Linked DNA regions of Coturnix japonica. The protein of the gene in region 7 purifies or fractionates together with the protein of the main gene of each other region. This does not show direct contact. Links are inferred from orthologs where the notes say so. Each region holds a gene or a part of one and is shown on either strand. Other genes may lie near its edges.

What was found.
Region 1: the proteins of POLR2L (region 7) and protein POLR1D purify together in Homo sapiens (affinity purification with mass spectrometry; 4 studies listed by BioGRID and IntAct, with this or other methods). This does not show direct contact. The link is inferred for Coturnix japonica from reciprocal best matches to the Homo sapiens genes POLR2L and POLR1D.
Region 2: the proteins of POLR2L (region 7) and RPAP2 purify together in Homo sapiens (affinity purification with mass spectrometry; 3 studies listed by BioGRID and IntAct, with this or other methods). This does not show direct contact. The link is inferred for Coturnix japonica from reciprocal best matches to the Homo sapiens genes POLR2L and RPAP2.
Region 3: the proteins of POLR2L (region 7) and POLR1E purify together in Homo sapiens (affinity purification with mass spectrometry; 3 studies listed by BioGRID and IntAct, with this or other methods). This does not show direct contact. The link is inferred for Coturnix japonica from reciprocal best matches to the Homo sapiens genes POLR2L and POLR1E.
Region 4: the proteins of POLR2L (region 7) and MED19 purify together in Homo sapiens (affinity purification with mass spectrometry; 3 studies listed by BioGRID and IntAct, with this or other methods). This does not show direct contact. The link is inferred for Coturnix japonica from reciprocal best matches to the Homo sapiens genes POLR2L and MED19.
Region 5: the proteins of POLR2L (region 7) and POLR3E purify together in Homo sapiens (affinity purification with mass spectrometry; 4 studies listed by BioGRID and IntAct, with this or other methods). This does not show direct contact. The link is inferred for Coturnix japonica from reciprocal best matches to the Homo sapiens genes POLR2L and POLR3E.
Region 6: the proteins of POLR2L (region 7) and POLR3F purify together in Homo sapiens (co-immunoprecipitation; 3 studies listed by BioGRID and IntAct, with this or other methods). This does not show direct contact. The link is inferred for Coturnix japonica from reciprocal best matches to the Homo sapiens genes POLR2L and POLR3F.

What each region holds. Positions count from the first base shown.
Region 1 is NC_029516.1:157,556,932-157,561,861, forward strand, and holds the start of protein POLR1D, read right to left. Parts: upstream 2,985-4,930; 5' UTR 2,870-2,984; coding exon 2,844-2,869; intron 1-2,843.
Region 2 is NC_029523.1:12,306,414-12,310,692, forward strand, and holds part of RPAP2 (putative RNA polymerase II subunit B1 CTD phosphatase RPAP2), read right to left. Parts: intron 4,076-4,279; coding exon 4,010-4,075; intron 3,655-4,009; coding exon 3,566-3,654; intron 1,406-3,565; coding exon 1,370-1,405; intron 538-1,369; coding exon 1-537.
Region 3 is NC_029547.1:66,740,005-66,744,283, reverse strand, and holds part of POLR1E (DNA-directed RNA polymerase I subunit RPA49), read left to right. Parts: intron 1-449; coding exon 450-546; intron 547-1,294; coding exon 1,295-1,428; intron 1,429-2,231; coding exon 2,232-2,313; intron 2,314-3,156; coding exon 3,157-3,288; intron 3,289-4,279. UniProt on the Homo sapiens protein: Component of RNA polymerase I (Pol I), a DNA-dependent RNA polymerase which synthesizes ribosomal RNA precursors using the four ribonucleoside triphosphates as substrates.
Region 4 is NC_029520.1:7,805,116-7,808,973, forward strand, and holds MED19 (mediator of RNA polymerase II transcription subunit 19), read right to left. Parts: upstream 2,383-3,858; 5' UTR 2,360-2,382; coding exon 2,164-2,359; intron 2,023-2,163; coding exon 1,766-2,022; intron 1,699-1,765; coding exon 1,602-1,698; intron 1,520-1,601; coding exon 1,425-1,519; intron 1,288-1,424; coding exon 1,219-1,287; 3' UTR 954-1,218; downstream 1-953. Other genes in the region: TMX2 (thioredoxin-related transmembrane protein 2), read left to right, coding at 2,454-2,642, 2,909-2,969, 3,094-3,207, 3,491-3,567, 3,648-3,754, 3,834-3,858. UniProt on the Homo sapiens protein: Component of the Mediator complex, a coactivator involved in the regulated transcription of nearly all RNA polymerase II-dependent genes.
Region 5 is NC_029529.1:8,348,751-8,353,029, forward strand, and holds the end of POLR3E (DNA-directed RNA polymerase III subunit RPC5), read left to right. Parts: coding exon 1-27; intron 28-951; coding exon 952-1,065; intron 1,066-3,178; coding exon 3,179-3,235; 3' UTR 3,236-3,621; downstream 3,622-4,279. UniProt on the Homo sapiens protein: DNA-dependent RNA polymerase catalyzes the transcription of DNA into RNA using the four ribonucleoside triphosphates as substrates.
Region 6 is NC_029518.1:13,402,593-13,407,319, forward strand, and holds the start of POLR3F (DNA-directed RNA polymerase III subunit RPC6), read right to left. Parts: upstream 3,091-4,727; 5' UTR 2,994-3,090; coding exon 2,938-2,993; intron 2,669-2,937; coding exon 2,551-2,668; intron 1,778-2,550; coding exon 1,710-1,777; intron 720-1,709; coding exon 652-719; intron 55-651; coding exon 1-54. UniProt on the Homo sapiens protein: DNA-dependent RNA polymerase catalyzes the transcription of DNA into RNA using the four ribonucleoside triphosphates as substrates.
Region 7 is NC_029520.1:8,951,202-8,954,328, reverse strand, and holds POLR2L (DNA-directed RNA polymerases I, II, and III subunit RPABC5), read left to right. Parts: upstream 1-1,431; 5' UTR 1,432-1,514; coding exon 1,515-1,609; intron 1,610-1,752; coding exon 1,753-1,861; 3' UTR 1,862-2,045; downstream 2,046-3,127. UniProt on the Homo sapiens protein: DNA-dependent RNA polymerase catalyzes the transcription of DNA into RNA using the four ribonucleoside triphosphates as substrates.

The DNA.
Region 1 (4,930 bases), on a different chromosome or scaffold from region 7:
TAATCATCTTATTATTCAAGACCTCAAAGAACTGCAATGGTAAAGTACTTACTGCAATCAGGATGCCAGAAAAGAAGCCTAAGCCAGAACACTCAGAGCAAGGATAAATTAAGGCACAAATACACCCCAAAGTTCTCAATGTGGAGCATCTTTGCCTTTGAACATACATGGGGCATGCTGACACAACCATCTTTCGTAGATCAAGATTGTAGCTTGTTTAAATATTCCATTTGTCAGTCTCATAAGTGCTATTTTCAGAACATTTCCACGCTGATATTCTCAACAGTGAAGATACCACTTAATCTAATCTGAAACAATATCAGCTTGCAGACCAATTTTTGCCATAGGAGATAGGGAAAAAATGGGAAATAATGACCTAATTACGACATTTCTATTTTTACTGTTAAAAACAATAGCAAGAAATGTCAATTAATTTTACCAAGGTGCAAAGCTTACTTGTTAAGGAGTGTAATTAGGACATCTGTGCAGCAAGATGGCTATGAATTCTCAACTCAACAAGAGGCTTCTTGTTACTAAACCCAGTAATGGTCTTGGAATTTAGAACAGTATCCCCTTTAGGAAACACTTACTACCGAGATGATGCTCCAAGAAGGCTTGGTAGGCAATTCTAATAAGATTCTGAAATATTTATAGCTAATGAGAGGCAGATCTGACTATAGAACAGTTTTGATACATGGTAATATAAAATCTCTTCCTTTACACTGTCAGAGAAACCTCATTTTTTTTTTCTCCCTGTGCTTCCAACAAAGACACAAAGCACAGAGACCATTTAGAAGGGGAGGTGGGGGAGGAAGAGATGGGGATATGCAGTAGAAATTAAGTAGCAAAAGCAAGTACACATGCTTATAGCAGAAACAACCAGCCTCTGGTAGCTGATCCATAAGGTTTATAGTAGTGACTATTGGGTATACCTTAACATCATCATTATACACTAACAGGATTAATCCCAGAATTTCCTTAGGATCACAAGATATTTCTGGCTTACAGTCTGGATCTGCACTGACATACCAGAGGAAAAAACACCAGCTTATGCTTCCAACAAAGGTTATTGGGTGAAATGGGAAATAACTCAGTAAAATGCAGTGAACAGTAATATTTCACTGATTTTAAGACTACTCCTTATTTTTTAAATCCATACTATGCAAGAGTTGCACTGTAACCTGCAGGTGAGCATTCCCCTTCTACAGAGACTCCTATGAAGTGAAGAAAGCATCAGATGCAAGATGAAGCATGAGTCAGACATGGAAAAACAAGGCAAGCTGGATGAAGACTCTTCCTAAACAACTATAGATAAGTAGCTTCTCTTAGCAGATCCCAGTCTGGAATGTTAAGAAACAAAACTTACTTCAGACCTGAAAAAACACATACAAAAATAGTTATAGTTCCCACAGTACCTCTGGACAGCCTGTGCCAGTGACGTGCCACTCCCTAAGTAAAGAATTTCCTCCTAATATCTGACCTAAGACTTCTCTCTTCTAGTTTAAAACCGCTCCCCATTTTCCTACTACTACCTGTGTAAAACTTTTAGTCTCCCTCCTGCTTATAAGCTCCCTTTAAGAAGTGGAAACACAAAGCACTGGCTGCAAGCAAAAAGTGCTTAGGTTTGGAGTGGCACTAACAAAAAGAGCATTTGTGTCTATATAGAAAGAAGCTTTAATAATTAAACTGATGATCTGAGTGAGGAAGTGCCCTACCAAGAATTAAGGCTTCTTGGAAAGCATTACATTCTCTATCCCCCCCACCACCCCAGTGGCATCATACGTATCTCATTTCAAAGATGTGGTAGATCTAAGCTGAAAGAAGTGACTTAACAGAGAATCACTTCCACTAGAAGGGATCCCTTAAGGTCACCTGCTCCAACCCACTGAAATGAACAGGGATATCTAGAGCTAGATCAGAGCCCTGTCAAGCCTGGCCTTGAGAGCTTCCAGGGACAGAGCATCCACCACCTCCCAGGGTAACCTGTGCCAGTGCCTCACCACAATGATTGTAAAGGAACTTCTTCCTTACATCCAATCTATGTCTCCACTCTCTTGCTTTGAAACCATATCCCCCTGTCCTACTGCAACAGACTCTGTTAAAGCATCTGTCCCCTTCTTTCTTATAGACCCCCTTCACATACTGAAAGGCCATTCTCAGGTCATCCTGGAGCCTTCTCTTCTCCAGGCTGAACAGCCCCAGCTCTCTCAGCCTGTCCTTGTAGGAAGGCATTCCATCCCCTGGGTCATTCTGTGGCCCTCCTCTGGATGTGCTCCAACAGCTCCATGTCTCTCCAGTACTTCAGGTGAGACCTCACCAGCACAGAGCAGAGGGGCAGGATCACTCCCTTGGCCAGCTGGCCATGTTGCTTTGGATGCAGCACAGGTTGGCCTTCTAGATTGCCAGGGCACATTGCTGCTCATGTTTAGCCTGTGATCCAGCAGTACCCCCAGGTCCTTTTTAGCAGGCCTTCCCATCAGCACTCTCAAACACATTTCTTAAAAGTTATGAGACGGAACCATGAGATTCTCAGCCATCACTTCGCTGTAACAGTTCCATGCAGCTGCTTGCAAAAAGTTCAGCCTCTACGCGTTAACCAAATAACTTTAACCACCCATTTATACGACTTTTAAATCTCTCGCGTATAAATGACATTACAAGAGCGGTCCGCATTACGCAGAGATGCGTAGCAATGGGCTGAGGGCTCAGGGCCGAGCACAGGCCGCACAAGCCAGGCCCTACAGGCCGGGAGCCGACACAGGACCAGCCCCAAGGCCTCACTGGCCCTACAAGCGCAGCCCAGAGCGAAGGAGAACCCGCAGCACAGTACGGCCGCCCCTCACCTCTCCAACTCCAGATCCTCCTCCATGGCAGACTACAGCCCGGCTCCTCACGCTGACACAGACGCCATAGCCGCTCTCAGCCCAGCTCCTCGAGGCGGAGCGAGCAGGCGCAGCTCCGGATCCGGCGGGGAGGGGGCGGTGCCGGGCGGGGCGGGGATGGAGCCCTGGCGGCAGCGCTGCCCACCCCGCCCCGCCCCGCCCCGCCCCGCCCCGGGTTGCGCTCCGTAGGGCGGAGGGTCCCTCCCGGCCCGGGGCTGCGGTGCGTCCCGCCTCGGCCGCTCCGCCATAGGCTGAGCCGGCCCCGCGCCCGGCCCCGCGCCCCGGGGCTGCCGCCGGAGTGGCGGAGCGCGGCGTCACTTACGCTGCCCCGGGGGAGGCGGGGAGCGGGGCCGGGCGGTGGGGAGGGAGGCGCCGCGCCGAGTGGCCGCCCGGAGTTCGGCTGCCGCCGTGAGGAGCCGGGTGCCGCCGTGGTAAGTCCGTGCCCCGCAACGCGCTCGGTCCCCTGGGGGCGGCCCGGCCCCTCGTTGCGCTCCGCGGGGCGGGGGCCTCCCCCGGGACAGGGCCGGGCCTGCGGCGGGGCCTGCGGGGCCGCAACAAGTGCGGGAGGGGGAGAGCAGCGCCGGGCCGCTTCGGGGAGTTGTGCTGGAGCCGTGACTCCGGAGTCGCGTTACCGCTGCCTGGGGAGGGCGGAGGGCAGGGAGAGTTGTGGGCAGCGCCGGAGCGCACACATCGATGCCAGGCTGCTCTTTTCTCTCCCCTCTCGTTTAAACCGAAGGTGCGGTTGGAAAACTTGCAGTGCGGCGCCTTGTGAACTTTCCCGAGGCGTGCCGTGTTACTGCTCCTCGCTGTGTGTTGGTGCTCAGCCGAGCGGGTAGGGAGTGCTATGGCACTGACAGGCTGCTCGGCCCCATGGGGCTCCTGTGACCACGCTCCCGGTGCGGGGCGTTGGTTGTTTCCTGCTGTAGGAATCCACCATTAAGTACGCCCGAGCTTCGTTTAATTCCTATTTTAATTACGTGATCTCGTTGCTCTCTGTGTGCGACGGGAAAATGACACGGATCGGCTTTGGGTCGTGTTTGATGCTCTCTGGAAATGCACTCCTGCTCGTAAACGCATCAGAGCTTTTGCTCAGCAGAGACCCAGATCCGAGCTGGGCCCCCGTTAAAGTAAATGAGTGATTTCTGTGTGTCTGCAAACCATTGTCTTCCTTTGGGCTCCACGAAGCTTTGCTGTAAGCTTCAATCCCACCGCAGATCAGGGAGCTTAGGGGGAGCATCAGATGGCTCCGGTTAGCGGCTGTGCACTTGGGAGCAAACACGGCGGTGCCATATGCTGCCGTGACTTCATTACCATCCCTCCAGAGACAAGGTTTGTGAGCACACCTTTGGGAACAACAAAACCGACTGGGACCTTCTTGCATTGACTTCTAAAGTGAGGAATCCCCTCTTTCCTGAAGCCAGTTCTATATGGTTGACTCCAAATGCAGGGAATTGTAAGGATTGCAGTTGTGCTCAACTAAGGTTTTGTTGGCTTTTGAAGTTCTTTATATTAAAGAAAAATATCATGCTTTTAAGTGCTTGTATTATTGAAATTCTAAAATCTTGGAATAAGTGCCTATAAAATGCACATTTTTTTCTTTAATGAGAGCTTTCTATAATGAACTTGTAACTGTCCTGGCTTCTAGTTCTGGTCTGTGACTTCAGCAAGAGATAATCCAGGGCCTTGGACTTGGGTCTACAATGGTTAAATCAACATTATTGCCTAAGGCAGGCTTACATCTTTCATTAACCAAAGCATCATTTAATATTAAGCTGCAGCTTAACAGTGGACTTTGCAAGAGAAATGCCCGCAGCTTCCTGGGTGAAAAGTTCTGCTCTCTTGAGACAGTGAGGTTCATTTAAAAATGAAGCCTATGAAAACCTATTACGCATAAATGCTGGCTTTGATACTGCTGGTTTTTGTGTACATTGGGCATTTGCTCTCACAGGAGCCTTGGTGACCTCAGTAAAACCTGGCATTGCCATGAGCCTTTACCCGCACTGCGTGGCCTCTGAGCCTCAAACTGGGGGTCTGTTTGTGCGCTTGTC
Region 2 (4,279 bases), on a different chromosome or scaffold from region 7:
GGAACTGGATCCCCCAGCTGAATTTTTTCATGTTGTTTTGAATTAACTAGTGTTTTAAGGTATTCCGCTCCTTTTTTGCTCACACCCAGGAAGATTATCTGTGAATTGCTATGAGTATTTTCACAGTTCTCAGAAGCATTTGATTCTCCTGGAGTAGTGTTTTTTGAGGGCGTCGCAGTTATTTTATTTTGAACTGTGCAAGCATGCATTTCTTCCTGAGCATCTAATTTACAATTAGAGAGTCGTTCAGTGACTTCCACCATGTCTGTGCCTTCAGACTTAGAGCTGTAACAGACTTTCTGAACATGCTTCTTTTTGAGGATGCTGTTTCTGTGTGATTGCTGTGCAAGACTGGCTGAACTTGTCTGACTTCCCGGTAGAACAGAAGAAACAAATTCCTGTTCGGTATCACTACTGCTATCACTGGCTGTGCCATAAGAAGCAGATTCATACGGAGTTGAAGATACCTTAGGATTTTCAATGTCAGAAGCTTTAACTACTTCATCACATATTTTCACTTCTTCTCCAGATTGGCCACTGTAACACAAAACACAAGCCATCAATGAAGTATGAAATGGATGTTACGTGAGATTAGAAAATTATTATATAAAAGAAAGAGAAATGGAACCTTGTTCCTGTATAGAAAGTGTATACTTTTTTTTTTTTTTTTTTGCTCTAGAAATCATCTTTAAACTCAGAGTTCTAATGTTTTGCAATTAAGATGGCAAGTTTAAATGCTATTTAGAGAAATTTGTTCCCAGATGCTTAGTGGCAGTTAGAATAGTAAACAAGTTGTTACTAAAGACAGACTTAAGTTCCAATTTAGTATGAAGAATTTTAAACTATTTCCATTTTAAAATATAGATCAGTATCTCAATATACACATACACGTAGTAACTGTAAATCAGTAGGCCAGTAGAGCTTGTTTTTGGCATATTTAAGTTTGCCATCTAATGGCTGGATGTTCCAAAAGAAAACAAAGTCGCCATATGCGGCAAGGTACAGAGAGATGACAGAGTAACGTGAATTCAATTGAGCTGATATTGGTGTTTTAGAATAGGAAGTGCAGAAGTTTTCATCACCTATAATTGGTACACTTTCTTCATAAAGAATAGATGGTATAAAATATTTAAAGTACAAACAGTGTATTTGTTTCAGATTTCAGCAGGATCAATTATGACACATAGGCCAAGAGCAGCTGTACACTAAATCATACAGGTCAAACACGCTAGTTTAGAATCACAAAGGAAAAGAAATAAGACAAATAACCCTTTGTCTAATAAAGTCTTTTCAAAGATTTGCCCTTTCCCCAATATAATGTTAATATTTCTAACTATAAATGCATATAACAAATTATTATTCAATGTACCTCTGCCCCTTCTTCAGCAGCTCTATGTCTGATGGTCTGCAAAAAGAACATAAGGAATGATGACTTTTTTTTTCTGCTAAATCAGTACCCTTGAAATGCACAAACACAGAAAACACATAGTTGGGGCTGGAAAGAACCTCTAATGATCTTAGTCCAACATCCTTTGTTCAAAGCAGGGTTAGCTGGAGCAGGTTCATACATTCACATTCAGAGCATAATTTGTGCGGGCCTGTAGCATTATACATTTAATAACTTATCAAATCATATAAATGTTAGTTAGAAAGGACCTCTGGAGGGCTCCAATCTGACCTACTGAGACAGTGAGACTGTTACCAGCAGTAGATTAGATCAGCCACACCTTCTTTATGTTTAAATCTTGAGGATTGAGATTTCAGAACCTTTCCGCATGCACTGATTTGTTCCACTGCTCTCTTAGAGCACACCTTTTTCCCCAGTGTTAATGTAAACCACTGATACCATAATTTATGGCCAACATATTTAAAGTACAAACTCATTAAGTTTTTTGATAGAAACCAAGAACAGTTTGGGTCTGTAGCCTAGGTAATTTTTTTCAATAAGTGTAGACTTTTTAGATCATCCCTTGGTTTCCTCTTCCTCGAACTAAACATGCTCAGATCCTCATAGCTCACAAGGTCTCTATAGGAAAAACAATCTTCAGTAGTTTGCAGAAAAAATGCTCCAAATTGTTATAGGAAATAGGAATATTCAGGATATCTTCATTTGAGATGTTACTTGTTTAAAAAAAATAGACTCTTAAGTTATAGTGGGCTAAGAAAATGGAATCTGAAGGTTTCCATAAACACTAAGAACTGTTACTGAACAGATTCTGAAGGATTTCTTCCCAAATTTCTAGCTGCAGTTCTGCTTCATTTCAGTTATAAGGTAACATCACAATGCTAATTAGTTTATTCAACACTGGCTATTGAAATCCATACCTGCCTTACGAATGACAGAGAACCTTTTAAGCATGCCCTGAATGTAAGTCAATGAAATAACTCCTTAAACTTGGACAGTATATATATAAAAAAACCAACATAGCAGATGTAAAAGGATGAAAGTTGCATTTTTCATATAAATGAACTGAGTCTGGAAAGTAAAGGTGGTAAGACAGTGAAACTATTAATTCCAAATAATTACTCTTTAAAGTTTTAAATGGAGGTTTTTAGCTTTCTCCATCAAGAGAATTTCAGGTATTTTCACGTGTAAATGTGTATCAGTGTGTGCATATATAATGTTTATGCAATCTGATATTACTTTATTATGTTTGTTGGTTTGTTTTGGAAAATATGCCCATCCCAGCATGGATAATTAACTATGTCAAACATCAGAACTCCGCTTTTTATGGTAACAACAGAGATGTTAGAAATAGTTTCTTTAGAGAGAGCAAAACAATACCATGAATACGCAGATAAGCTTATTTAAATATTTTACAGTTTTACCTAATTCCTCAGATCAGGCTGCTTAAAGCCTCTCCTCTCACTGACCTGTGTTTCATATAAATCCTCCTACCATGAAACTGAGCTCACACATATAAATTCAGATTGTTTATTCTGTTGAAAGCAAGGGTACTTGCTTGGACAATGAAAATGGAATGAGCTGAACCTTCTCTAGGCAAGTATTTATTGTTGAGCAGTGACACCCAGTGGCTCAATTCTTTGTTTGCACACCTATGTTTCCTAATTTTTTTTAATATATTAAAGCACAGACTATGTAACCCTTACAAAATGTGTTGCAGTAGTAACAGAAAATAGGCAACCTAAAATAGCAGTTTTATGTGGAATAAGGAACTTCATTTTGCAGACTTTCAGGCTAACCTCTGAAAACCTCTTGCAAGGTAAGATGGATTATTCCTTTATCTTACATGGCTTGTAAAAATCCAATCACAATAAATACATTTTAAAATTAATAGGAACTCATTATTATTTAAGACTAGTTTGCCCTCTAAACTAACACAGTCAAGTCTGTTGAGTAGTCATTACCAGAACTGGGCTGCATCAATTACAGTAATCCATGTGGCAGCAACACTTAACATGAACAACACACTAACTTAACATCACTTGTCTCTGCTTCAGCCTGACCATTTGGATGTACTGCAACTAATTAATTTGCGTTGCAGCTTGGACTAAGAAAACAGTATCCTTGAAATGAGCCACAAATACATAAGGTCACACTTACATTTCTTCTTCTCGCATCCATACTGGACTCTTGGAAATTTGAGCTTCAAAATATTTAGATGCTTTGTAGCAAAAATTGCTGCAAAAGCACTGGAAATAAACGATGGAAAATATGATTAAAGACATCTTCAGTAGTAATAACTAAAAAAAACCAAATAAAGCACCAAAACACTCGAAGAGCAATTCTGAACCCTGTAAAATGGCCATACAGTTTAAAAGACATGCAATAACATTCAGGGTCAGCAGAACTTTTTTTTTTTTTAGTTTTCAATATGACTCTTAACATTTTGGAGATGGAAACACACTACTTACTTTATGAAAATGATTTTCATGAGATACACATGCATTAGTTGTGATTCAGTCCATTATATGAATGCTGTTACAAAATGCATTTGTGATGTGGAGACAATATTAAATACATTCTAAAAACAGCTTGTTACCATACCTTTCTTTCAGTAATATCGTAAACTCTGTTAGTTTTTGTTGAAATCCTGTACTTCTGTTTTGGCACCTAAAATGACATGCTTTCATCAGCAAGATTGTCACAATGTTATATAAAACTTTCCTTTTAATTCACGTTTTCAGTATAAGTAATGTATTCAGTTTTAACTGAATTACGTACTACAGCAGCTCTCTTGGTATTGTATCTCCTTAGACATTAGAACTGCAATTTCTCATTATTCATTCACATCTTAGTAGGCAACTTCAGGTTTAC
Region 3 (4,279 bases), on a different chromosome or scaffold from region 7:
GCCTGTAAACTTTCTTGTTGATAGTCTGTCATGTGGAGAATGTGCTGCTAGGCATTTGACAGCAGAGCTGAGCCTTCTCCCCTCACCAGCCAAAAGCTGATAGCAGGAACTTAGTATGTTGAGGCTTCAGGGTTAACAGTTCTGTATTCTTCCACCCTACGAATACAGGGGTACTATGCCTGCCTGTTCAGAGCCATTCAGCTAAGAATAGCATTAATGTCAGGAGTATGTGAGAAATTGTTTGTGTTTGAGCCACTGTACTTCAGAGACATTTAGTTTTGGTTACAACAAGTTCTGTTGTTACTTTCTGCAAATTTATAATCTTTTTCCCCCACTTCCCTACCTCACACCTCCCATAGCAAGAGCTGACAGACCGTATCTCACTATGAGCTATTCAGAACCAGAAAGGAGAGAATGTCCCCATGTTCTTTTCCTTAAAGTCCATGCAGTTATATCTCCAGCAGAGTATGAAGCATTGCAGGGTCCGGCAGCAGCCTTTATTAACATCACTCCAGAGGAAATTGCCAAGAAAACAGAAGAGAAAAGGTAATACTTCCACAAGCAGCCTTTTAATAGCTAAGGCTGGCATTGTGAAATCGTGTTTCTTCTTACAGGCAGGATGGCAGCTGTAGCCAGCTTTACCAGCTCTACAGTATGGGTAGTGATAGTCTTCAGTCTAAAGGGAAGGCATCAGATCATGACCCAGTGTATACCTTTGGGAAGTGTGGAGGTTTAACTTTATGGGAGAAAAGGTGCTGTGCACAACAGTGTGGCTGTCCTCTTGGGAACTGATATTACAGGGGAAGAGAGGGAGTAAATCCAAAGTGCAGGATGAAGGAAAATACCTAGATATGGGACCACAGAGCTGTGCTAAGGATGATATTCCTGTGGCCGAGCATTGTCCATGCCACATACTGTCGTAACTGGAAGTTACTGTAGCTTTGCAAATGGACATGGACTTGTGCTAAGGCCTGGTGCTGAAGTAAGCAGGTAAAGCAGAAGCCACAGCTCACTTTCACTGCTTCCCATCTGTATCTAAGCAGAAGTGTGTGTGCATGCGCACACTCCATGGAGTACTTGTGGTTTTTGCAGTGCAGGGACTTGTGTAGTGCCACATGCAGAAATGTTCTGACTGTGGTGGACAAAAAGAAGAGCAGCATTGTGAGCTTTCTTGTATTAGTGTTCAGGGAACTATTCTAACCTAGGAGACCTGTGCACTGAATTTAAGGGTGTGTTCTAATCAGAAAGCTAGTCCCTGATTCTCTGGTCCTCATGCTCCCTCTTTCCTCTTTAGCCATTGCTCCTTCGTCTTAGAAGAGCTGAAGTTCCTGCCTGCTGATGAGATGAGCAGGGATCACAAAGCTCGATGCCTCTGGTTCCTGGACATCCTTATTAAGTTCAGCTTCCTAAAAATCATCAAGAAGAAGTGTAAGACAATTTTCAACTCTTACCCTTTTCAGCTGCCTGTTGGGACTTGGCTTGTAGTTACCATAATAGCAAACAATGAAGCTTCCCAGAGTTACCTGTTTGATAAACAGCTACATGCAGCAGTTACAGTTCAGCTTGTTTCATGATGAGGTTCAGCATTTCCGTGCCATTGTGGAGTTTTAGATCTGCACCTATTGGGATATACGTGTGTCATTCTCTTCAGTCCTTTTCTAACTGTCATAAATCGGGGTCCTGAAGTGAGATCCTAATTGTAGGAGGTAAAATAGTTTAAGATTAAGATTAAGTTTGAGATTCTTTTTTTACTTACTGACAGTTTTTGGTTCTTATCCCAGGAGGCAGGAAACTATCAGTGCTCTCCCTCATCTAGACTCCATTTTTTAGCTGCAAGAGGCATGCAGTACACAATGCAATCTTTAGGTGTTTTTGTGCTGTCTTTGTGTCAGACTTGGCTTAGTATCTCAATGTGTGGATGACAGTCTTCAGAATGTTTCTTATAAAGTGGCAGGAACTGCTTTTCTCAAAAGCACTGCACAAATGTTTTGATTGAAGTTTACAGGACTTGCTGTATTTCACAGACCTTGTGTTTCTGTTTCTTAAAAAAATTCCAACGTTACCATTTTCAGTGTCTGGGAAGATGGATGAGGAAGGTAAATCTGTCTGTAAATATCTTTCTGCATTGGTGGAGACGCGGGGTCATCCAACAAGAGTTAGTCTAGGAGGCTTGAAATGGATATAAAAATAACCAGTCTTGGTGCTCACTGTGAAACCCCTTTCTATTCTAGATCCAATGGGTCCTGAATGCCCGCTCATCATTAGCAGGAAACTTATGAAAAACTTCACTTCACTGACCTACAACAATGGCAGGTAAGGAACTGTGATTGCTTTGATGTTATTGATGTTCAGATGATGTAGAAAACAGCTTGAAGGGTCACAGAGTCTTTATCAAATAGCACTGCACCAAAACAGGAATAGCAGAAGCTTCTCTTGAGTAGCAGGCCAGGCCAGGTAAAATATTCTGTTGTGACTGATGTTCATACATGAATAATGTAAGTCTAAACCGTAACTGGGAGAGGCAGAGTCATGTGCTTAAACAAGCCTGTGCCTGTGGATTTAGCCAGCTTCACCTGGCTGGCTTGATCAAGAGTGAGAAGACTTGTAACTTGCTACAATGCCTTTCCTTGAGAATCCAACAGCCTCTGCACAGCCTAACTGCAATTGCTCAGCCATCATATATCTGCTGTTTGCTGTGAAGTGGAGGTTCACAGAGAGGTTGAATCCATGTGGGCCAGCGAAGGAGCATTTGTTTATAAAGACTCAGACCAGAGGTGAACAGTAAAAATAAATGCTTTCAGACCTGCTCTGTTGTGTATGGTTGCAGTGAGTACCCTCAGATCAGCTTCATCTTGCTGTTGTCTTGCCAGTGTGCCAGAGAGACAGAAGTATCTGCAGACAGTGATTTAATCAAATCTGTAAACCTGTAAACATCTTGAGAGACCTGCACTTTTGAACAGAAATATAGGCAGTTGGTGAGGAAGATCTTGAGGCCCCTGTGATCAGAGATCTGTGTTTCTTAAAGCTCTTTTTTCATGTCTAGGAAATGCTTGTCATAGCTAACTGGGGCTCCAGTTCTGTCTGCACCTTGTGGGTGGTTGTGTTTTGGGTTTGCTAACTCTCTGCTTTTCATCTGTTCTCACACTTGCTGTTCAGTGTTCAGAATTTAATCTCTGCGTCGCTGAAGACTAAAATTGCAGCATATGTCATTGCACTGGCTCTGCACATTAAAAACTTCCAAGTTGACCTCACTGTCCTGCAGAATGACTTGAAGCTCCACGAAAATAGGTGAGTCATGTTCGCTCCTGCCTGTTAAGATGCCTGTGGTCCTCATGCAAGCAGTCCCTGGGGAAGAAGGCTCTGGATACTCTTCTGTGCCCAAATAGTACAGTGATACCCGCTGTGAGTTCCCTGTGTTGCAGTTGGACTCTGAGTGTGTTGAAGTTTTATATTCAGGCCCTGCTACGTCTAATGGGGTGGTTATACGTGTCAAAGCTTTGAAAGAGTGCTTATCACAAAGCTGCTCAGGTGTACTGTGAGGCTTTTTGTCTGTTTGAAAGTGGAAAAACTTGAGGCAGGCAGCATCAAAATGGCAGAAAACCTATCCAGGTACTACCCAGTGCTGTTTTTTGCCTGCTAAGTCATGTTGCTCCTCACTGAACTGTCCCCTGCATCCCTTCTTTCTGCAGAGATCTGTTGTCAGCTAGGTACCAGTCTGGATGCAAGTACAGATTTGTATCTGACTGTAACTGGAAAACTAGAAAAAGATTTTCTTTCTCACAGGCAGATTGCGAGCGTGTAGTTGCTGTTCCTCCCCAGATGCAAGACTTCACAATTTAACTTGATAAGATTCTGCTCGCCTTACCTCTTCAGTTTGTCAGAGTCTGTCTGGATGTCAGCGTAGCCCTCTGGCACTGGGAGGAGGAGCCAACTCAGTGAAGATAAATGGGTGGAGAACAGTGTGCAGTATAAGCATCCAGGCAAACAATGCTTGCCATGATAGATTTTGAAGAAATTTCTTCCTAGACTTAAATTTTCTGTGGAGAAATTACTGTTCATCTGCTACGTGATGTCTCTGTACTGCTAGCTGCACGGATGTACTTAAACCTGCAGGTTTGAGGCAGAGCCTGACAGCTCCTCTGGCAGTGAGGACTCCCAGCAGACATTAGCTGATCAGGCAGCTTGTTATTGCTATCTGGGAGTGGGTCAAGTTGCCCTGTTAATAGCTGCTCAGCTGTGTGTGATTGCTGTCCCAGCCTTTCCTGTTCTGCAAGATGTG
Region 4 (3,858 bases), about 1.1 Mb from region 7:
CTACAGAGGTGGTGTGAAGCTGGCGATGACCGGGGGAGCTGCTGGTGTGCAGGTGAGGGCTGCAGCCTTTCTGCACCTGCACATTTTGCTCTATATTTTGTTTTTTGGTTTTTTTTAGCATTTCCCCAGGGTTTGTGGTTTTTTTTTCTATTATTTTTTTTTTTTAATGGGTGATCAGGTTTTTTTTGGCTGTCACGTGGTTATTTTTATCTCCATGTGGGGAAGAGGCACATCCCTGTCGAGCAATATTTTCTCATCACATGCCAAAAAACGCAGCCAAGGAGCCCAGTGCTGCCCCGCCACCCCCAGCCCCATTGGGGAGCCCACCCCGCACCGGGCCCACGCAACTTCACGCACTACTTGACTCTTTCTCTATGGCAATATCTCTCCTGTGGCCTCCGCAGAGCCATGCCATTGGTTTTTTGTTTTTTTTTTTATTATTATGATTAGCCATTTTAAAAACGAGGAATAAAAGGATATTTAATGAGTCACCTCAGCGGGCATGCGTGTGCTTTGTGCGGTGTCCAGGGATGGAGGAGTCCGTGAAGGATCCTGTCCTTCACTTCTCAGCTTTCCCTCCCTCGTCTGGAGTGGAAAGGAAGGGGACAAGGAGAGCCGGGCCCAGCCTTACAGGGCTGCCAGTGCCTGCGCCCTCACAGCTGGGATGTGCTTCCTTAGGGCACTTTGGGGCACAGCGCTCTCAGTGCAGGTAAGTGGAGCTGTCAGGGTTGGAACATGTCCCAGGACTCAGTGAGGCTCTGGCTCTTCTGTAGGAGCCCCCACAGGGGCAGCCCTGGGGGACATGGTGCTGAACTGGGGTCACTTGTGTCCTCCTGAGCCTTCTCTCACAGCCCAGAGAGCTGCAAGGCCTGGAGTATGATGGGACAGGCACAAGGCCTCTGCTCCTTGCCCTGCCCCGCTGGCCAACAGTCAGAGCCGCCACTGGCACCAGCTCTTCCTCAGAGCAGACTTTAATTAAAAGGTGAATAAAAAAGTGAGATCCCAATGCACCACGTTGCTTAGGTGTGGTAGGAGCCCCCATTCCAGCAGCGTCCGCGTCACCAGGTCCCCATCAGCCACACAGTGCAAGCAGGGGGGTTGCAAGGCCACGTTCTCTGCAAGCGGGGACCATGAGTGCCCACACCTCCCCGCTGTGCTCTGTGATGGGACGAGTCCACAGCTGGGGCAGGGAGCTCCATAGAGCAGCACAGCGCAGCCTCACCGCAAGCTGCTGCTGCTGCTGGCCTGCGAGCTGCCCACCCCGGGGTGCTCGGGGCTGTGTCGGTTCTGCAGAAGAAGGACAGGCGTGAGGCCTTGTGAAACCCAGTGCCAAGCCCTGCTGGAGGCCTAACGTGTGGTGCTGCCGCGGCCTGGCACGGGGCTGGTGCAGGCAGAGCAGAGCAGCACGCTGCCTCCTAACCTACCTTCTTTTTCTTTTTCTCCTTCTTCTTCCTTTTGCGCTCCGGATCCTCCTCTTTCTTCTTCTTCTTTTTCTTGTGGTCTGAGTCCGAGGGGGTTTCTGCAGGAAGCAGAGGAGGGGTGAGCGGGGCACAGAGTTACCAGGACACATGGGGTGCAGAGTTAGCAGGGCACGGTCCTACCTGGGGGCACAGGGTCCTGCGTGCGGCTCTGCTTGTGCTTGTGCTTGTTCTTCTTCTTGGGCGGCTGGATGTGCATGAGGCGGCACTGCTCCGGCAGCTGCAGGGGCTCATGTCAGCGGACCCCCTCCTTACCCCCATCCCCCCTTCCTCCCCCGGGTGCTCACCGGGCCGGCGTGCAGTCGGAACCCGGTCAGCATGGTGCCGGTGAGCGGCGTGAAGGAGCTGCCGCAGATGGGCGGCTTCTCGATGAGGGAGCGCAGGCTGCTGTTGTCGTGTGAGCCGGGCAGGTCGATCATGCCGGGCAGGTCGGGCAGGAAGTTGCTGAGCTTCTCCTTCACCTTCTTGCCGCAGAACTTGTTGTACGCGTGCTCCAGGCTGTAGTGTGTGATCAGGTTGCTGCTGCCCGTCAGCTCCGTGCCGCCTGCGGACGGACCGGCACCCTCAGCGCCCCGCCCCTCGCCGGACCGCCCGCGCCCATTGGCCCGACGAGCCGTCACTCCGCGCGTCCCGCCCGCTCATTGGCCCCGCGCCCCCCCCCCCTCCCCCGCGGCCCGGCCCGCACCCGGCAGCTCCCGCAGCAGGTAGAAGGGGCCGGTGGCGGCCTTGCGCGCCGCGTCGTCTCCCGGCGGCGGCACGGCGGCTGCTGGAGGCGGAGCGGCCCCCGCTCCCGGCCCCTTGTTGGGCCCGAAGCCCAGCGCGGCGGCGGCGGCGGCGGGAGGCGGCTCGGCCCCGCCGAACAGCGCCGAGAAGTTCTCCATCTTCCCGCCCTGCCCCGCGCGGGGCCGCCCCGCCCCTCGCGGACGTACGTGCAGCTCCGGCCAATGGGAGCGCGGCGGGCGGCCGGAGGACAAGATGGCGGTGCTGGCCCCGCTGCTGGCGCTGCTGTACTCGGTGCCGGGGCTGTGCCGCTGGCTGGCCCGGCCCTACTACCCGCTGTCCGCGCTGCTCGCCACCGCATTCCTGCTCGTCCGCAAGGTCCCGCCGCTGTGCCGCGGGCTGCCCTCACAGCGGGAGGACGGCAACCCCTGCGACTTCGACTGGGTGAGCGGCAGCACCGGGCCGGCCTGTGCCGTGGCCTACTCGGGTATCACCGGCGCTGGGTGCAGCCGAGGCGGCCCCTCTGTGCGCAGCCCCGGCTCCTGATCGAGGGCAGGCGGAGGATGAAGGCTGGAGCGGCCTGGAATGGCTGCTTGGCCTTGTGGTTGTGCTGCAGGGCTGCTCGGTTGTGCCCGAGGTGCTGGCTGTGGCTGTGGCTGTGGCTGTGGCTGTGGCTGTCACGGTGCTCACTGCGTTTCTCTCCTGTGCAGCGGGAGGTGGAGATCCTCATGTTCCTCAGCGCCATCGTCATGATGAAGAACCGGCGCTCCAGTGAGTTGGGGCAGTGCTGGGTTGAGTATAAGCTGCTGATGGGGTGTCTCTGTACTGGAAACAGTTGAGGGATGAGAGTGAAAAGAGACGTGGCCCCATCTCTGATTTCTTCCCTCCTTCCCAGTCACTGTGGAGCAGCACATTGGGAACATCTTCATGTTCAGCAAAGTGGCCAACGCCATCCTCTTCTTCCGTCTTGACATCCGCATGGGCCTGCTCTACCTCACGCTCTGCATCGGTGAGACACGTGGGGAAGTGGGGGGGGATCCGTAATGCAGGGGCTGTAACAGTGCTCCTGTCAGGCCTTGTCTCTGCCCATCCTGTGCATTGCCTTCCTCAAATGGGGCTGGAGCCATCTTGCCTTGTGCTGCTGCTGTCTTTGTAGCCATACAGGCTGCTCTGGGGAAGGAGGAGCCTCCCTCAGACTAAGCCTGTGTCTCTTGGGCATTCCAGAAGTGGAAAAAAGGGGGCAGAGGCCTCGCTCCAGGTGGGCGCTGGGCTCAGGGATGCTGTTATTGCAGTGTTCCTGATGACCTGCAAGCCACCCCTTTACATGGGACCTGAGTATATCAAGTACTTCAACGATAAGACCATAGATGTGAGTATCTCCTACCCAGTGTGAGTTGGCGTGGGGTGCCGGGCTCCCTGCCTACCATCCCCTGTTGACTCGCGTGGCAGGAGGAGCTGGAACGAGACAAGCGGGTGACCTGGATCGTCGAGTTCTTCGCCAACTGGTCCAGTGAGTGCCAGTCCTTTGCCCCCATCTTCGCTGACCTCTCTCTCAAGTGAGTGCTGCCTGCTTTTGAGGCCTTGCTGAGTCGGTCCCAGCCCAGTGCTCACTCAGAGCTGTGTTCTGTCTCCCAGGTACAACTGCTCGGGGCTGCACTTT
Region 5 (4,279 bases), on a different chromosome or scaffold from region 7:
TGGGAAGCCGGTGACATTTATGATCAGGTAAAGACAGAAATAAGTGATGGTCCCAAACACATTGTTACTGAGGGTTTGGCATTGCTTCACTTTGCATTTCTGGAAGCAGTACAGCAGTTTTTTCACCGTTCCCTAAGGAAGACTCAGAGGTTTCAGTGCCAGCCAGCTTCAGGCTGAGAGAAAGCTCGGGGTGGTTGTCACCATATCAGGAACAAGTTGTTGGGAACAGAAACTGAGACACTGGTAACTAAGTGGCATGTAGATACTATTAATTGTATGAAGAGAGAGGTTCCGTGATGCAGGTCTTAGGCTGGGATCCAGTCAAATTATTTTTCTTTTTTTACTAATGGTAATGCAGTGGTAATGCAGCAGTAGTGCAGTGTTAACCAGTGGTTATATGATGATGATGGAACATGGTGTATCTGTTTATATTTAGAAAAGGAAATGATTACAGCATATGCAAACATCTCCTGAGTTTTATTTCTATCACAGTAAGTGAAGTGGATGGAAAGGCATCTTAACAGAATGTGGACGGGCAATGTAACTGCTGTGCCTGTGACCTAAATAATTGTTTATAGGAAAGTCTCAAGCATTGTTCTAGAGAATAAGCAGCATCCGACCTCCTGGCTGGAGCAGACCACGTGAGCTGCCTGGGAAGCGCGTGAGAGGAAAATGTCATAGTCCCTTCTTTAGTATAGGTTTGTACCCATGGGGGCACCTGGGGTCACAGGATGGGGCAGATCTGCTCATGAGACATGGAGGGATCCCTGCAGAGCTGCAAAGTAACGGGAGGACACCTAATGAGAGCAGGCTGAAATGGGACAGTTTCAGGGTTACAAAGCAAGAATACTCTATTGAAGCTCAGTGAATGTTATGTACGGATTAATGCACAGATGGTTTGTTTTATAGAAAGTTAAAAGTAATTGTGTGTTAATGATTCTTTGTCTAAAGCATCGCCAAGTTTTGCTTGAAATTTTTTCGAAAAATTATCGAGTGCGCAGAAATGTCATTCAGAATCAGCTGAGTCAAGACCTGAACAAGCAGGAGGTGGATAGAGTGTTAAAGGTAAGTTCTGCTCACTTGGGGTTTTGATTCAGTTAACGCATGAATTTTTAATGCTTTGGTTTAACTGAAGGATCATGTATTGCCTTGAGTTGACAAGTGATGGTAGAACAGTCGCTGTGGGAATGCAGGCAGGGCTTGTTTATCAGCCTGTTTTCTTCAAAGTAACACTCGTCTCATTCTACCTTGTTTCTCTCCAAAGAGCAGTGATTTTGACTCCCCTGTTATTTGGTGTTATTGCAGCAAATCTTTGTTCTTCCCTTTGGACCAGAAGGGAATAGAGCACAGTAAATGTCATACTTGAGAGTTATTTTTAAGTAATATGGAGTTAAGCATTAAGACAGTGGGAGTGTTCTGTGTTCACTGAGCTGACTGTTGTTGTTTCATGCTGAAGAACACAGGTGTCAGATGTTCAGAAGGAAATGCATTATATTCTGTAGTAGGACTTAAAGCAGTGTAGCAAGAAAAACCCCAAGCAAAACAAGTACAGAGTCCTGCTTAGCACATCTCATAGTGAATGTTTGAGTCCTTTCATCTCTGCCTTTGAAGATGAACCATTTACTTTCTAAACAAGTTTAAGGTATGAGGTATGGACCTCGCAGGCTGTGATTGACAAAGGAGAAAGCTGCCAGCTCATGTAGTACTTCAATCACTGTTGCTGGGCCTTTGCTCACCATCACCCACTTCAGTGAGACAAGTGCTTAAGTACTTTATTACTCTGGGATCTGTAAGCAGAATAATAACCTACTTGAAAAATTACACATCTCTTGCTGTGATAGTAAGCGAACTGGTCTTGCTTGAATGAACCTGGTCTTAGTATTAAAATAAGCTGAGACGTTTCTGCCTGCTATGCAGTGTTTGGTTTGGCTTGCGTGTGCTGGGAGGTTTGTCAGGCTCAAATAACAGCTCTCTGGGGATGTCTCGATAATGCACTGGCATTTGTTTGCACATTGTTGTTGGTGTTTAACAAATAAATTATTTCTGGGAAAACAAAAAAAAACCAAAACAACAGTTGTCCTTAACAAACCAGGTCCTGCTTTTGTAAAATCTAAGTCATTGCACAGTCAGCCTTGTGTTGTGTCAGACTTTGTCTTGAATATATTTGTTACAGAAGCATGTGAAGCTTTCATTGTTCCTGAAGAAAATGTTGAAAGTATGATTTGATGAAGTAGGGGGATTATCTGGCTGCGTTAAACCATGGGAGATTTGATTCTACTTTGAATGAAATAGCATCTGTTGACTCTTATTTCCCCATCTGCATGTGCTCCTGTCCTATATGGGAAAGAGCAGACTGACAGGGAGTGTATTTTTGCATCTGCAGATCCAGAGTGAAAAATCTCTTTTGAGCCTCTGCACATTATTTCTTTGTAGAACATTTGGCTGCAAGTCCCAAGAATTAAGAACTGATAGTTACTGATGCTTTTTTCACTTATAAGTTCCTCAGCATCAGTTCTGTAGCAGTACTTCCTCCAAGCTCCTGTTGAATTACCTAAGTGGGAATGATGGAGCAAAAGGAGCTATTAGCTTAGAATTCATGAGACTTAGCATTCATTTAATAGAAATAAGAAAATGAACCACAAGAAACCTGACTTACTGAACTCCTTTGCTGTGGAGCTTGCAGCTGTGAGTGTAACAGACACGGTCGGAGCACCTTAGTACATTTCTGAGGTTTGACCCTTCCTTGCCACACAACATTGCTGAAAAGGCTCCATCTTGGGGCAGCCTGTTTGCTTCCTCTGCTCCCTTCTGTGTGTCCACATCTTCAGGCTGCACTTACCCTGCAGTTCCTCTGGCTCTTACCTCTCCTCCTGTCCTAAGCTGCTGCACCATCCTTCCCATCTCCTCCTCCCAAAAACCTTGGTTTCCTGCCGCCATCCCATTGTGTATCCTCTCCCTGTGCTCTCAGCCTTTCCCCCTGTCTGCTGTCTTAAGCTTCAGGGCAGAGCTGACCTGCAGCTGGCTCACATTTGTGCACTGGAGGATGTACTGATCACATTTAAGGCTGTGAATCCCAGTCATGGTTCCCAGTGGGGTACACCTTGTAGTGTGTAGTCCCTGCGGTCTGGAAATGCAGGGCAGTGCTGCAGGCACTGATGGGCTCTCCCTTTCTCCCCAGGACTGCTGTGTGAGCTATGGTGGAATGTGGTATCTTAAAGGGACTGTGCAGTCTTGACGACAGCTGTGGCAGTTTCTGTGCTTCAGATGCTCTCCAGGATGAAAGAGGAAACCTGCGGTGGGCAGCACAGACATGGCCTCAGGAGTGTGGGGCAGGAGCTGACCTACTTTGGGGCATGTGGCATTGCAGACAGTCACTGACATTTACAGCACACTCACACATAAGTTTGCATGGCTGCCTGGGTGCAGAGAGCAACTAGGAAGACAACATGGGACCCTGTCTGCAGTTTGATTAATCTGGGATTTCTAATGTATTTTGCTTCTCCTTCTCTTTCCTTATAATAAAATAAAACCATATACTGACACAGACATGATGGAAAATCATGGTCTAATATTTTATTTTGTAAGTAAGTGATGCCAATAAATTAAATTTGTTTACAAACATCCCAGGTTTTGCTCGATACCTACATGCTCATGCATTAGTCTGAGCATTACAACAGCCCTTGCTGCCTTCCGTACAACAAGGGTAGTGATGATTGTGGGCACATCAGAGAGGGGGGGGGGATATAAAATCACTGTCTTTAAACATTGTATGACATAGCAACTGTTCTCACCTGGTGTCTGTAAAATGAACTGTCTGAAAAAGTACTTACACTTGAAATAGATGTGGAACAACTACTGGATGTCTTATTGATGTGGGTTTTGGTTGATGGAGTTTTTGCCTTACTATGTGCAGAGGTAAGTGCACCGTGTGCAAGGCATCCAGCTGCAGATATCACACTTGGCAACAATGTAAAACCTCTATTTTGTGTAACTTTTTTAAAAATAAAATTTTATCTTGAAGGTCAGCTGTGGCATCCTGCTGTACTCTGCCTTCTGTTTGCCCAGGAAGAAATGGAAATGATCTTTGCTCCTTTTAGAGCCCAAAGGCTTACAGAGGAAGGAAAGGTAAAGAATATTTGCAGGAGGTGTTTGAGGTAGATGGCAAACTGCCTGTTGACTTGCTGTACTTTTCTTCTTGCATCACGTTTTTTAGGATGGTTGGCAGGATGCAGCCTGTTGCTCAAGAAATGATAACTGAGCTGCTTCTGTTCTAAGTTTG
Region 6 (4,727 bases), on a different chromosome or scaffold from region 7:
TGATCTCCGTTAAAGGCAAATTACTTTTGTATCTGATGTCCCTGCTCCAAATACCTGTTAAAGAAGCACAGAAATGAACAGAATTAATTAGGAGAACCAGGTATTTGTTTCTGTAAGGATTAACAAGCCAAAAGTCATAATGTTGCCTGCCAGCCAAAGGCTGCATCTCCAATCCTACCACCCTCAGCAAAAGGGAGGGAATGGGAAAAAGAGGATGAAATAAAAATCAACTGACAAAGCAGAAGAAAAACCTCACAGCACAGTCACCATCTGTATCTCTGGGAGCTCTTACATGTACACAACATTTGGCCTCACAGGAGATCCAGGAGACACAGAATTTTGTTTTTAAAGTGATGAGTATTTTGTATAGATTCCCCAGTTTCACAGTCCCATCAATAAGCCATAATTCATATTCTGAAACTTCATATTTTGAAAGAGGTCCCAAAAGGTCAGACCAGATAATTTGTTATTTTAATAGAGAAATATGTCTTCCTCTGTTTTTAATAAGTGGCACGTGGAACATTAGCTACAGACTTAGGCGTGCTCTATATCTGATATCTGCATTGCCTGGACAAGAATTTAAACGTTTGGACAGGAAAAGTTCCACAAACAAAGCTATTACCATTCCCCATTATAATTTATTTAAACTACCTTTGTTGCCTGCATCTTCTATGATTTGGTAAACCAGCTTCTCTTGATTGTCAGAGCCTTTCATTTTACTGTGGAGTAGAAGAGACAACGGGATTTTTTGGGGTAAGTTTGAAGTTTGAAAGAGGGTGGATTTATTTTAAACCAAAAACAAATACTATGAACAGAAACCACAACACACAAAGGGAAAAAGAAGCCCCACACAATAAACCAGCCAGTGGCAAATAAAATACATGACACCAAACCTCTGTGGATCATTCTGCGATTGCCAGTGAAAAGCCACAGTAAAGAGAAAACAGCACAGTTGAAAAAAAAAATAATATTAGTCATTAAAAATGAGGGTAAGCAGGAAACACTCAACTTCTCTTAACAAAGAGAAGTTTGGAGTCACATATTAACACAACTGCATAAGGTCAAACACTCAGCACATAATTCAGGACCAACTGTCGCAACAAGGGGACAGCAGAGGCTCTACAACGTGCCTTCTCACTGGTCTCAGAAAGCCTCAGCTTAGAAGGTTTTTTTCTAATGCAGTGGAAAGAGAAGTTGAGATGCCTGCATGGAAGATAATTTTGAAGGACGTTTCTTTCTAGAAGTAAATCCAGGCATCTCCTACTCAGCTCCACACAGACATCGCAAAACACGACTTTATTGAAGGCATGTTTTAATAAATCAAATAAAAGAGCACAAACAACATATCAAGCGGCCTTCTGGAACTGCTGTAAGTGCTGGAAAAGACCACAGAACGATACTTATAGATGGTGTGGTCAAGCTTCAGCTGGCTTTCATCTGAGCATTCGCATCTGCTCATAGAGATCACTTTGCCAGATGAAGAATTCCACTAGTAAGCTACAGCTGGAGCCCCATGGGAGAGTCTGTGCAGCAGGAATCATACAACAGTTGACAGAATTGGCTCAGGGGGGTTAAGCGTATCAAGCAAGTAAATTCTGTAATATCTTTGTTACAGAGCCCATGTTAAATTCCTTGCTGTGTTCTCAGCAACGCCGCACATCAGCTGCAGAACCGCATTCAGATATTGATTGCGTAAGCACAAGGCTCACCTTGCATTTTGAGACTCTTTGATTCTATACAGGAGACCTGTGCTGCTCCTGAGAAGGTCCAGTTGCCCCTGTGGGAAACAGGCACAGCACATTAACTTCCCTTCTAACAGCTTCTTTTCAGAACACGGCAAGAAAATCTCCTTAACTTGTAAAGAAAATAAATGTACTTTGTATCAGCTGAATACAGAAAAGGGAAAAACAACATTTCTAACTGCTAGACACAACAATAACCCTGAGGATATTATTCTTCCCCTCTGACCATGCATTTATCATTAGCTGTCAGAAATAACAAACACAGCTCCAGCCTCTCCCCACAACACTGGTGCACTTCCCGTTGTTTCTCCTAACGTTCACCTTGGGACATGGAGCTCTTGTATACTTCCCACCAAAGTGCTCATTCATATGAGCATCCAGATATCAAGTGAGAGCTCTGCTGGACAGGAACACTGAACAATTCCACAAGTGGAAGAGATGAGGGCTCTTATTTTGTTGGTTATGTTCTCAGTTCTGTAGATAACTGGAAAAGTGTCAGCCAAGTTTGAGGATGCCTCATGGAGGCTGCTCACTCACACAACAGGTGTTAACTTTATCTTACAGAATGGAAACTACATTTTGAGGTATGTTTTAATAGATGATGGTGACCGTTATAAGTGGTTGTGGTGGTCACAAGTGAGAACCACAATTAAGCTGCAAAAACTGCCAGTTCTGGCAAATGACACTAAATCCAAGATGAACTTCCCAGCCCTGCCCAGCTGGGTGCCACCACGCAGCCATTGACAACAGCCCATTGACATCAAGAGCCTCAGGATGAAGCAGCTCGAAGGGGTGTGGAACGTCGTACCATGGAGAGCAGCCTGTTGATGGCCATGGCTCGCTGCTGGGCCTCCATGTGCGGCATGTCATTCTGGATCACCTGGTCTGTGATGCCGTGAGGGAACTGCTGGCACAGCTCAATGATCCTGGGGGAGGAATGAGGCGGTTTATGAACCAAAGGCCGTTGTGCACAAAACCAGCCACCTGAAAGGCCATCAGAGCAGGGACGGAAAGGAAAGAGCAGCTCAGGAAGAACCACTTCTCAGCTCTTTCTGACAGCGCTGCTGCTCCACTTCACTTTTGGGCTGCTCTCAACATCAACGCACCAGGACCCACCAGGACCCACCGCTCCCCGCCTCCCCAGCACCACGAAGCCTCTCCCGATGATTTCGGGCCAGGGCCCGTCCCAACGCACCTGCTCTCTATGTCCACGGGGTCGGGCACCTCCGGCTTCACCTTCACCTCCGCCATGGCGGCGGGCCGGGCTGCGCGGGGAGATGCCGTCACCAGGAGCGGAGGGGATCGGTTACTGAGCGGCACGTTGAGATGACGTTATTTGTACGCGCCGGTGCCGGTTGCCGAGTAACGGGACGCGTGGGCTTTGTCGACACCGCCTGCTTTGTGGTGGTTGTGGTTGTTGTTGTGGTTGCTGTTGTTGTTGTGTTTCAGGGATCGCAGAGCAGGATGGCGGCGGGCTCCGTGTCTGTGCCGCAGCTCATTCCGCTCCGGGTCCCTGTTCCAGGGCAGGCCAAGCACCGCATCGACAGCGGCACCCGGGTGGAAATCAAGTCAGGTACGGGCTGCGGCTTTGCCTCTGTCAAACCTCCTCTCAAAGCGTTTGAGCCTTCCAGCCTCCGTGTTGGCTGCAGGTAACTGGCCTCAGGAACTCCACCTGCCATCAGAGGAGATGGTTTATCTGTTGGTAGAACAGTGTTTTCCTGCAAAACCACCGTGCGGTGACTTTATGAAGAGAAATATTGCTAATCGTGACATCGCAGCCATTCAGTGTCAGTTCTTCATGGGAGAAACGGTTTTGGTTCTGAACTTTTATGCAATTGCTTCATTGTGCTTATGTGAGAAAGTCAAGTACTCACACAGTGCTGAGTATCTGCAGGGTTGTACAGATATTTGTGTTTTTTTCCAGCTCCTGCACAGTTTGGCTAATTACTTTCTCTGTGTTGTTCAGATACACCTGAGGTCTCTATTTATTACACTTTAGATGGAAGTAAACCAGAACTTTTTAGGAAGCCTGGCTATGGAGAGCGTAACACTTTTAAGTATAAGAGTCCTATCACGTTACCAGTCGGGAAAATAACAGTCAAGGCTCTTGCAGTTACCAAGTAAGTATCCTGCTTTAACTTAGTTCTGTTTTAGAATGGACATCTTAACTTCATGGTTAGAAGAACACACAAGGAATCCCCAGTCCAGCTGGGAATCTGTTCCCCACTATTAGCACCTGCATGTAGCCTTTGCTTGTATCTGCATTGGAATATGACAACATTATATTCCCTGTGCAGGACATGCAAACCCTAGGTCTGAAGGTATTTTCATATATCACTATCTGAATTAACAGTTCTTTCCAGTGTTTTATTAAGACATTTCCAGGTGCACCAAATTGATGCTCTGGAATGAAAGCAAATTCTTAATTAATAGCTTGTACATTTGTGGCATTTTAATGTTACTGCTGTAATTTAGCAAGTGAGAAGGTAGAGAAGGTAGATAAGAGAAGGACAGTTGATATATCAAATTGACAGTGTGCTGTCTGCTGCTTGACTGCCCTTTGTTGCCTGCAATGCTGGCAAACTAATTACTCCAGAAAGCAGACACAGCAGCATCAGGAGTTAGTTTCACAGGTAAAAGATGTTGAAGAATTAAAGTATCCATCCGTATGTTTTACTGTTAACTTCTTAGTGTGCACACTAACTTAAACATAATAACAAAACAAAGCAGAGGTTTTTGAGAGTATTTCCCAGGACTGTGCTTACTCACTGAAGTAATGACTTGCAAACTTGGAAGAGATGTTCCAGACGATCAACCGTGTTCCCCCGTGGTTTCCTTTTCATTGCATGTGGTTTTATGGCATGTTCAGAACTTTGTGATCATTGACTTCCAGGGACTGCAGGGAGAGTGCTGTTGTGACAAAGGTGTTTCTAGTAGAGTACAAGCAACCAAACGGCCTCTTCTCTATGGAAGATGATGACAAGA
Region 7 (3,127 bases):
CCGGGGCTGCAAAAATCGCTGTCTTTTCATTAGGAAACGTTTGCAAAACCTCCTTCAAACAACCTCGCCGGTTAAAACGAAACTATTTGCTCCTCTACAGTTCAAGTTAGGTCTGCGCGGAGGGTCAGCAACCCAGCGGTCCAAAACACAGGCACGAAAGGCGTATTAACATAAGCTGTGCATTAAGACTTTATACGCCTGACAGTAATGGCTCTGCGCCGCGCGCCGTATCAACTCGCAGATGCTCCAGCAGCAAAATACAGTATTTTGGGTGCATCCCCGCTCTGCCCAAGGACAACCGTGAAGCAAGAGGGCACTAAGGACCGACAGCGCTCGGGGTGACGCTTTAACCCAGTCTGTCCCGAACAGCAACGTGCCGCCCTCAAGTTACAAGCATCGCATAGCGCAGCACTCCGCGCGACGCTCACACGGGAGGATCGCACGCGGCTTCACGACGCATCCCCCGCTGCAGCCCAACTTCCCCGGCTGGGGGCAGCCAGTAAAGCTGCAACGCGACGCTCGCGGTGCCACGGCCGCCTCCACCCTCCGGGGAGCGGGATAGCGCCTCAAGGACGGCTTATGCCCCGTTTGCTTTCGCTGCGCGCGGCTCGCCGACAGACCGAGGAACGCTACAGCGGGCAGCCCTGAACCCCCCCACATCACCCCCCACAGCCCCCAGACCCGGAGTTCAGCAACTCCCGACTGACCTGCCGCCGCCACGGGACCGCTAACCTCGCTTACCCCGCTGACCACGGCAGCGCTCCGCAGCCCGGCTTCCTCCAAATGAGCGGGCAACGCCGCGCAAATCGGCGCCGAGCGCAGCTCACGGAGCGCAGCCCCTGCCCGGCTCCTTCCCCTTCCAAAGGGGAGCGAGGACACGGAGCAAACCGCCCCAAATTGGGGACGCCAACACAGCCGCGAGACGGACCGCGCCTGGCGCTACCAGTGCGCGCACCGGGAAGGGAAAGAAAAGGGAGGAAAAGGGAGGGGAGTGCGACGTGCTGCCCCGTCCCACAGCGCTGCCGTGCCCCGCTGGTTGGCGCCGGGCTGCAGCCACCAGTTGCGCTTCCACCCCGCGCGGCTGCGGTACCTCGAGCAGGACGCGATGAAGAAGTGCCTTCTGCAGAAGTCCGGGTGTAAAGCAACAAGTGAGAGCGCGGAAGGAAGGAAGGAGGGAGGGAGGGAAGGGCACGGCGCCTCCTCGGCTCGGCTCAGCCCGCCCCGCCGGTGTCTCCGCTCTGCGCTCCGCCGGCCCCGGCTGCCACCACGCGCCGCGCACGCGAAACGCGATCAGCAGCCCGCCCCGCTCGCAAACACTATTGAGCCGCGCAAGGAGCCGTAGGGCGGCCGCTACCATCCGCCGTCCTGTGCGGGAACGGGGGAGCTCCAGCGCCGCTCTGCATCCTCACGGCTGAGCAAGAACGGCTCGCACCGCCCGTGTCCCCCCGGTGCAGTGGGAGCGGCCGTAGGGCTGCGCTCGGGCAGCTGCAGGAGGAAGCGGCGCTGTGCGAACCATGATCATCCCGGTGCGATGCTTCACGTGCGGCAAGATCGTGGGCAACAAGTGGGAGGCGTATCTCGGGCTCCTGCAGGCGGAGTACACCGAGGGGTGGGTGTCATATTAACAGCACACGCTAATACCTTGCTTTAAACTAAGCTCAGAGCAATCATTGCGTTGCTTAGGAGCACTTACGAGCGGTTCTGACTCGTTTTGTATTTATTTCTTTTAATCGTGTTGTTATTTGTTAATAGAGATGCCCTGGATGCCCTCGGATTGAAGCGCTACTGCTGCCGCAGGATGCTCCTGGCACACGTGGATCTGATTGAGAAGCTGTTGAATTACGCACCGCTGGAGAAATGAGAGTTGATTGACCCAGCCACCAGCTTCTCCCAAGGAAATAAATGAAGGCCGACATCCACTTCACAGCTACAGCTTACATATGTAGATGTTTCTCTTTAATTACATACAGGTTGTTATTGGTTTCTTTTTGTGAACTTTAGGATGCTTTTGCCCGTAAAAAATAAATGTGTTTTATGAAATACAATCATTTGTCTATGTAAAATGTTGAACTAGAGGAAGCCTCTGCCTGTGGCCTTCCTGGAGTTGCTGGGTAGAGTTCAGCATACACTTCCATCTCACTATTTCCTCACAGTGGTCATTTTGAGGTTAGAAATACAGTGTTTGAAGCTAGGGCAATCAAGGGGGGTTAGAAAGAGAGCAAAGTTCCAGGCTCCAGAAACAGCACAGAGGATGTTTGTTTGCTATGAATGAGGCATTACTCTTAGTAGGTTGCAGTGCTAGCGGAGCTCATTTTTTCACTGAAGTCAGCCTATAGTGTCTTGTTAAAAATTGGGGCAGACTGGCAGCTCCATCACAGAAAACAGTAAATCAGGTGGCGCAGTGCTCCTCACTTAGGTAAAATACATCTGAAGGCAATGGATGTGAGAATTAATGCATGTAACTGTGAACAGGATCAGAGTCTTGCCAAACACCTGCACTGCTCTGTTGCTGGTATGAGTGCAAGCTTCCCACTTGTCAGTCATTTCATTGGCTTCATATAGGATGTATGTGCAGCCTGGGACTGCCTGGCCAAAACAACCCACCTTTCCACTGCTTGCTGGATCAGACTTCTCTGCTCAAACCTCAAGAAGAGATTGTCTCAGAAAGAACAGTTAGAGGACAGCCAGCCTCTGGCTATAGCTACTACCCTACCAATCTCTACACTTGATCTAACTTTTCCATTTATTACAATGGGATAGTGGCTAAGTTTTCTCATATTCAGCAGTTCTGCAAAGACACTAAAACCACATACTTCAGCCTAATGCAAAGAGAATTAAGCAACTCTAGTATCCCCTTCAGTTTGCGGGATAGCTTTTGTTCTGTGTGACTGCCATATTACACAACAAAATTCACTTAATAACAACTCTTTCTGGCTGTCTTTAAAAAGGGACACTATGAAATATAAGATGACTGTTTCCAGCTAAAATCCTGTAGGACCTTTCCATGTTACAGCAGAGCATTATGTGGAGATGCATGTAAACTTGCACACAGGAAGCTCCAAATGCCAGGTACTGAGACAGCACAGCAGCCCAGACCGCTGCCTCCAACTGAGGTGGCCAGGCATCA